Linked DNA regions of Coturnix japonica. The protein of the gene in region 1 purifies or fractionates together with the protein of each later gene. This does not show direct contact. Links are inferred from orthologs where the notes say so. Each region holds a gene or a part of one and is shown in the gene's direction. Other genes may lie near its edges.

The links.
Region 2: the proteins of NUP214 (region 1) and NUP88 purify together in Homo sapiens (affinity purification with mass spectrometry; 6 studies listed by BioGRID and IntAct, counting the BioPlex papers as one, with this or other methods). This does not show direct contact. The link is inferred for Coturnix japonica from reciprocal best matches to the Homo sapiens genes NUP214 and NUP88.

Annotation. Positions count from the first base shown.
Region 1 is NC_029532.1:4,691,161-4,694,660, forward strand, and holds part of NUP214 (nuclear pore complex protein Nup214), read left to right. Parts: coding exon 1-26; intron 27-641; coding exon 642-824; intron 825-1,309; coding exon 1,310-1,395; intron 1,396-1,484; coding exon 1,485-1,568; intron 1,569-1,906; coding exon 1,907-2,155; intron 2,156-2,852; coding exon 2,853-3,014; intron 3,015-3,174; coding exon 3,175-3,283; intron 3,284-3,500. UniProt on the Homo sapiens protein: Part of the nuclear pore complex. Has a critical role in nucleocytoplasmic transport.
Region 2 is NC_029534.1:2,458,936-2,463,175, forward strand, and holds the start of NUP88 (nuclear pore complex protein Nup88), read left to right. Parts: upstream 1-1,440; 5' UTR 1,441-1,479; coding exon 1,480-1,704; intron 1,705-1,777; coding exon 1,778-1,947; intron 1,948-2,048; coding exon 2,049-2,174; intron 2,175-2,263; coding exon 2,264-2,350; intron 2,351-2,882; coding exon 2,883-3,059; intron 3,060-3,367; coding exon 3,368-3,551; intron 3,552-3,726; coding exon 3,727-3,877; intron 3,878-4,240. Other genes in the region: RPAIN (RPA-interacting protein), read right to left, coding at 117-231, 678-741, 993-1,136, 1,227-1,301. UniProt on the Homo sapiens protein: Component of nuclear pore complex.

The DNA of each region.
Region 1 (3,500 bases):
CACCTGGAAAAGGAGAGAAAGCAGAAGTAAGTAACTGAAACTGGAATACAAGACTGTGAGGATCTTATCAACGAATCAGTCACTGCCTCTCATCAATAGACAAAACCCTTTTTCTGTTTAACAGTACAACCTTTTTTTTTTGTGGGGTTTATGAATAAAGTTTAACAAAGACAGGTAAGAAGAGAGCTGTAGGTTCAGATTACTGGGCTGTGGAAGTTTGTTACATTTTGCTACATCTCCTTGCCTGGTAAAGGAGTGCTTGTGATAGAAAAACCTGTAAAATAAGGTGTGTAGGGACTAAATGCATCCATTGGTGGAAGCCAATGAAACCTCCCAATCTTCTAGTAAATGAGCTAAACACATTTATAGCATACCCAAAGGAGAAACATGCATTTGAGACAAGCAGAATATTAGGGATATGATTTAACTGGGAAGTATTGGTGATGGTTGGACTGGATGATCTAGGTCTCTTCCAACCTTGATAATTCTGTGATTCTGCCTTTTGTGTTTAAAACAATCTTTGTTTGACTTCATGGGGTAGAACTGGCAGGATCTACCAAACCACTTTGTATGTTCATGCCTGCTTGTAGCCAGATCTGTAGAACCATTTTGATCTGTGTTTCTTGGTCTTATGTCTCAAGGCGTCTGGTTGTTCCTGAACGAGAGACTTTGTTTAACACCCTTGCTAATAACCGGGAAATAATCATTCAGCAGAAGAAGAGACTACATCATTTGGTGAACAGCCTACAGCAGCTCCGACTGTATAATCAGACATCTCAGTGGAGTGTTCCCAGTGATACATCCCCTCTTAGCAATGCTCAAAGGTATGTGAAATGCAAGTTCCTGAGTGGTGTTGCCACTGCTTTCTTGCCCTGAGCAGTATTCAGATGTGTGTCCACCGAGAAATGATTGTGGATGTGATGTGTGAGAACAGTACATCCTAGAAATGATACAAAACTATGCCCAGGTAATGCAGAAGCTCGCTTGTATTTGTGTGATACGTTAACACTCATCACAAATTCCCCCTTGAAAGTTTTATTTTTTTATAATAGCATAATCAGGATAATTGAACCATTGAACCTCTGGACAGAGGTACTGCTGTTTGTCTGAATTCAGGGGAAGAAGTGAATAACTTAAGAATTTCCAAAGTAAATCAAGATACGTACATATAAATAGCATGGTATCTAGAGGAGCCAGCTGTTCTTCCTGATAAGTTAGTACTTCTAGTGATTCATTTTGGCCTGTTTTTGTTCTTAATTTGTTTGATTTCTTTCTGCTGATCCTGTTTAATTGTTTTGCTGTGTCACAGTTTTGACAGTGACCTTGAAAGCCTGCGCAATGCCTTGATGAAAACTACCTTGGAATCACGCGTCAAACCCCCACCTAAAGTACCTGGTAATGTATTCTTCCTTCCTGGTGTTCACATGTAAATGTTAACGTTGTTAATGTTGGTATAGACTTAATAACTCTCTTCTGTTTTCCAGCTAAATTGCCCCCTGTGAAACTGACACAGTTGAGGAATTTTCTATCCAAGAGGAAGACTCCACCAGTTAGGTCTACGGCTCCAGGTAAACCTTTAGCTATGTTAAAAGTCCAGAATGCTTTGTAAGAGGGTGAGTTACCTCCTGTGGGAACCAATCCTGAAATTAGCTTAGAGCAGCTTCTCGTAGCCTCTGCCCTTACTTCACCCTTGCTGCTCCCTCATCTGCCCTGAGTAAGAATTTACTTCAGTTACAATCTTACCAAAAGTTGCCTTTGCTGGCAGTTAGGAAGTCGTATCCTAGCAATGTAGGATTAAAGCAAGCCAGTTAGAAGAGCATCCTAAAATAGGATGTATGTCTTAGCTGTTAGGATGGATGACTCTCTCACCTTAGTGTACACGTGTCTTTTATTTCTGTTGTTGTAGCAAATTTGTCCCGATCTGCCTTCTTGTCCACAAGATACTATGAAGATTTGGATGAAGTAAGTTCAACATCCTCAGTTTCCCAGTCCCTGGAGAATGAGGATCTGCAGGCAGCAGACCAGGAAGAGGAGGCTGCTCCTGTTCAAGTCCCTCGTCATGCCCCTGTGGTCCGCACTCCATCTATCCAGCCTGGTTTGGTGCCTCAGCCTCCATCCTTTGGGAAACAACACCCCTCCTTGGGTGGTACTCTATGTGAGTTATTTTGCAGTGTTTCTGCTATTCTGCATGTATTCCTGTCAGTGTCTTTTACCACTGTATAAATTGCTGCTGCTTCAAATCCTGGAGAAATGAGTTTGCAGCAGGGAGATTTACACTGCCAAATTCCCAGAAGCAGTTAGCAGAGTGGCACTGTAAGCTTGGGAATACACTGAAGTACCTAAATGCACTAAAGGACCTTGACTCACTGCATTTTGACTGCTTGTTACTTATAGATCATACTGACCATAGATGGCACTGTCTTCCTTTAGTAATTTGTCTTATTTTTTTAAAATGCTGCCCCTCAAAACAGAAGGCTGAAGTACTTCTGCATTTGATGAGTGTGCACAAGGTTAGGACTTCTGAGCCCCAAAACAGTAAGAACTAAATGTGCATATACTCAGATTTCCTTGTCTGCAGTCAGAGAACTCGAACCCCAAAATGAAAAGTAAGCTGTCAGTAGAAGTGACTACAGCAACAAACTGAAAGTCATCTGGTGCACTGAAATAACAACTACTGCAATGTACATGCTGAATTCATTGAGGTACTCAAACTGTCTGTGCTAGAAAAGTGTCAGCTGTCTTATCAGATGGAAGCTGTGAAATCACAGGAACTGTAGTTTGCAAAGGATTTCAAGTTTTCCTGATTTTAATGGATACAGTGAACTGTAATATTTTTTTTGTTTCCTGTTTAGTGCCTACGTCTTCAAACAGAATCATCCCACAAGGGGCAGACAGCACAATGCTTGCAACAAAGACTGTGAAACATGGGGCCCCTGCTCCCACTGTCACTGTTCCAGCACCACAGGCAGCTGCTGCAGCAGCTCTGCGAAGGCAGATGGCCACCCAGTCCCCAGGTAAAAGGATGGCTGATTGCTCAAGTCACCCTTGACTGGGCAAATAGAAACTTACATGGATTTCTTTTGGAGTTACTCGGAGACACCATATTGATTGCAGTATTTAATATGGGGAAGGTATTTACCACATTTATTTATTTATTTATTTATTTTCTTAAAGCTGTGAGCACCTCCTTGACTGAATCAACTCTGAAGAATGTTCCCCAGGTGGTGAATGTACGAGAACTCAAGACAGGTGCTTTGACTCCAGCTGTCTCTACAGTAATAGGGTGAGTGGGATCACCCTTTTTTTGATGGTAGCCTTCGCTAGTGCTTGCAATAGGGCGCATCTACCAGTGTGTAGAGCAGTAGTCTGATATAATGTCAGTGGTGAGTGTGTTTAGAAGTGTGTCATGAGTTTGTGGGATGAATAGAAAATATGTTTTCTTTCCAGATCAGGATAAGCTGTTAGTAAATCCTTGAATGAACAGACAAAACCAATATTAT
Region 2 (4,240 bases), on another chromosome or scaffold:
AGAGCCCTGACAACGAGAGCTCTGCTCTTCCAGCTGCTTGAAATCCACTCTCTTTGTTTGCTGTTTTGCCCAGTTCTAAACCCAAACTGCTGCAGTGTGGAGGATCTCATTCTTACTTTCTGCACACTGGGCAGATGATTCTGTTGCTGGCATCCAAGCCATCGAGGATTGCATTGAGGCATTCTTCATCAAACCGCAGACTTCGCTCGTACTCTTCTATAACCAATTGTTCTGGGGGCGGGGGGGCAAAAAAAGACCAACAAAAACCAAAACAGAACAGCAACAAAACAGACACCTGTTAACGACTTCAATGCTGATACACATGGAGCTGCTGTGGGGATGCAGGTTGGGGCAGCCCCTTATTGCTGAGATTCTTATTTCCAATCAGATTTCTGTGCTTAAGAAAATCATCACTATTAACCCGCTTCTTCCTACAGCCTTCATGCAGCCTCAGGGGGGTGACTGTAAGTCTTCCCAGCCAACAATTCAGTGTTCTGAGTTTATTGATGTGGGCTCCTACAACTCTCAAGCAGTGCTGCCTTGTGTAGCTCCATATAGAGCTTAAGATGCCACTTAAACTCCTGGAGCTCTCAGGATGCTCTCAGTGCATCAGAGGCTGCAGAGATCAGGCTGTTTTCCCTGCTATCATGTAGCAACCAGGGGACGCACTGAGTTACCTTGCAGGATCAGCTCCTGCTCGATCTCATCCAGCACCGCCAGCTCGTCCGGGTCCTCCGGCATCTGAAAGTCACCGTGTTGTGTTGGGACAGTGTGACAAGAGGCACCACAGCTCGTTCTGCTGCTTGTTAACACACAGAGGTGCTCTGTAAAGGCACCCAGCACCCAGAGCACAGCACACAACACACAACACAACACACAACACACATCACAACACACAACACAACACACAGCACCCAGCACAGCCCGGCCGAGGTTCGGCCTTTAATTCCCATCCCCCCCTATACAACATCCCTCCGGCCGCTCGTACCGACCTGCTGCCGCTCCCCGTTCCCTCTCATGTTCCTCCACTCTCCCTCCATCACCTCCGGTACCAGCAGCGCCCCGGGGCCGGGCCCGGCCTGTCGGTACCGTGTCAGCAGCCGCTCCCTGCTGCTCCTCAGCCGCTCCAGGCAGCGCTGCGGGGAACGACACCATGTCAGGGCCGGTCGGTCTCACCGTCTGTGTCTGTCCGTGTCTGTGTCTGTCTGTCTGTCTCCATCTCTCACCCTCCGGTACGTTTCCTTCCATGGCGGCACGTTCGTTCCCTTGTACAACGCGCGGTGTCTGCACGGCGCCTCCATCGCCGACACCACGTGACCGCGGCACGGGGCGCGCCGGGAAACGTAGTCCTAGAGCACAGCGGAAGAGCGGCGGGGTGGCGTCACTGTGACGTCACTCAGGTTGGCGCGGCGTCGCCGTGACGTCACTCCGCTCGCCGCCGCCGATTGGCTGCCGGTCCGTGGCGGTGGCGGGGCAGCCATGGCGGCGTGTTGCGGTGCGGAGCAGTGGCGCTCGGTGCTGCCGCTTCACGCCGTGTTCGGCCGCCTCCGTCACGCCGAGCCCGGCCCCGCCCCGCGCTGCCCGCTCAGTTTGTTGCTGGGCCTGGACGGAGACCTGCTGCTGTGGGACGGGGAGCGCGGGGCGCTGCTCAACGTCCAACTGCGGCGGCTGAGCGGGGCCGAACCGGAGCTGGGCCGGTACCAGGTGAGCGGAGCGGGGGCTGCGGGACGGGCCGAGCTCCGAGCCCCGCTCTGAGCCCCGCTGTGTGTCCCGGCAGACGCTGCTGTGCATCAACCCGCCGCTGTTCGACGTGTATCAGACGCTGCTCAGCCCCGCGCGGCGCCATGTGGCGCTTATCGGCACCAAGGGGCTCTCGGCCGTGGAGCTGCCCGAGCGCTGGGGCAAAAACAACGAGTTCGAGGGTGGGAAGGACACGGTGAACTGCAGGTGGGGGCTGAGATCCGCTCCTGCTGCCCCCACATCCCCCCCGTCCCTTTGGAAGCTCCGCCGTCCGTGCGGTCACAGCCGCCGTCCCCGCTCTGTTCCAGCACCGTCCCGGTCGCAGAACGGTTCTTCACCAGTTCCACGTCGCTGACCCTGAAACACGCGGCCTGGTATCCCTGCGAGACAATGGAGCCCCACGTCGTGCTGCTGACTTCGGATAACACCATCAGGTAACGCTGCGTCGTGATTATCATGAGGGAAACTGCAGATTGGCAGCAGCTGGTGCTGACCGACCATCATTGCTGCTGCTTCCATCCAGGATCTACAGCCTGAAGGTGCCCCAGACCCCCATCAAGGTGATCCCGCTGTCAGACGCTGAGGAGGAGACTCTGATCATCAACAAAGGGTTTGTGCGGCTCCTTTTGCAACGCTCTGAGCATCTCAGAGTTCTGTGTTCTCAGTCACATCCTTAACCAGTCACAGAGCCCCCAGCAGGGATTTAAACACGACTTACTGCTCACACCTCTGTGCTGGGGCTGCTTCCTGCCACAGAACCAAGTGCTGTATGTTCCCTAAAGGAAAGAGGGAACAGACTGCACAGCCCGGTGTTCTTCAGAACAGTTATTTGAACAACACACGCTATCTTTAAGAAGGTTTCATTAGGGCTTTTTTGAGCAGGGAATGCATTGAAATATGTTATCTTTATTTCCTCCTTCACCTGATTGGAAAGGAGAAACTTGAGGGTTTCTACTGGATGAGTCACTGTACTACACAGTAAATCCTACGTGCCCTCCTCCTTACCCTGTGAAACTCAGCTGACTTCAGAAACAAGGCCCTGGAGGGAGGATGTTACCTGAACATTTTTGTTGCTGAAACATAGTGTTTATCAAAGGGCTGATGGTGTAATTTGACTCAGTTTTGTTCCTGCTTATCCCTAGGAGAGCCTACACAGCGTCGCTGGGAGAGACCGCGGTGGCGTTTGACTTCGGCCCGCTGGTGCCAGTCCCAGTGAGCATCCTTGGGCAGCGAGGCAGTGAAGAAGTGCTGGCTTATCCACTTTACATTCTATATGAAAATGGAGAGACATTCCTCACCTATATCAACCTGCTGCAGAGGTGGGTTTGTGTTCATCCTCAAGTTTCATAGGGTCTTTGTATGTTTGGTTTCCAGAGCCATCTCTTTGCCTCGCTTGGATTCTGTTAAGGATGCTGGGCTGGTTTGTATTATAATGTATCTCTTTGTGATAGTGCTAGGAGACTTAAATCCAAGAATAACATGTTAGAACTCCAAACCGCAGTGTTTGATGCTTTCGTTGGCTGTTTTTTAGTCACCCTCATTCTCTAGTTATCAGTAAACTCCTGCAGGCAGCCATGGGAACTCTGCTCCTACGCTTTGTGTTGTGAATGCATCCTCCCTATTCCAGTGCTGGAAATCTTGGCAAGCTGCTTGGCCCTCTGCCCATGCACCCTGCTGCAGAAGACAATTATGGCTACGATGCCTGTGCTGTCCTGTGCCTGCCTTGTATTCCAAATATCCTGGTGATTGCCACTGAATCGGGCGTGCTTTATCACTGCGTGGTGCTGGATGCAGAGGAGGATGAGGAGCAGGTACCTTGTCTTGTTATTTCTGTGAACGTTTTTGTTTCTTCTGTGAAAGTTCCTGCCTTCAAGATCTCAGGATGGCTCAAAGGGAATGCATACCTCTATTATGTAACTCAGTGTTATTTACACTAGTATTTCTATTTAAATGATGTCTCATTGAAGAATTCAATGCTGTTTACAGTCAGAAAAATCGTGGGACCCAAGATCCGATCTTGTTCCTTCCCTGTATGTGTTTGAATGTGTTGAGCTGGAACTTGCACTGAAATTGGCATCAGGAGATGAGGAAGAGCCTTTGGAGTCTGATTTTTCTTGCCCAATCAAACTGCATCAAGGTAGGGTTGTGTAGCTCAGGTTGTTGTCTTTTATTTCCTTGAATTTAGGATCAAGTTATTTAAGAATTATTATCATCTCAAATCAATTATTACCATCTGGGTAGCGATGCTGAGAGGTGTTGGTGCCTGTTTATCAGCCTGTCAGCTGGTGCTGTTGTAGGGCAGGAGGATGGGAAGGACAAGGAAACTGGTCTGCTGGCATTAACTGCTGGTCTTCCCTTGAAGCCTACTGGATAGAGACAGATATTGTATAATGCAAGTAATTCTAATTAATTCCCAAAGAGTGTATTAACAGATGCTGAAATTGTACTTGATTTACATGCAGAATTCAAGTGCAAAATGCACACAGCTCAGACCTTGAAC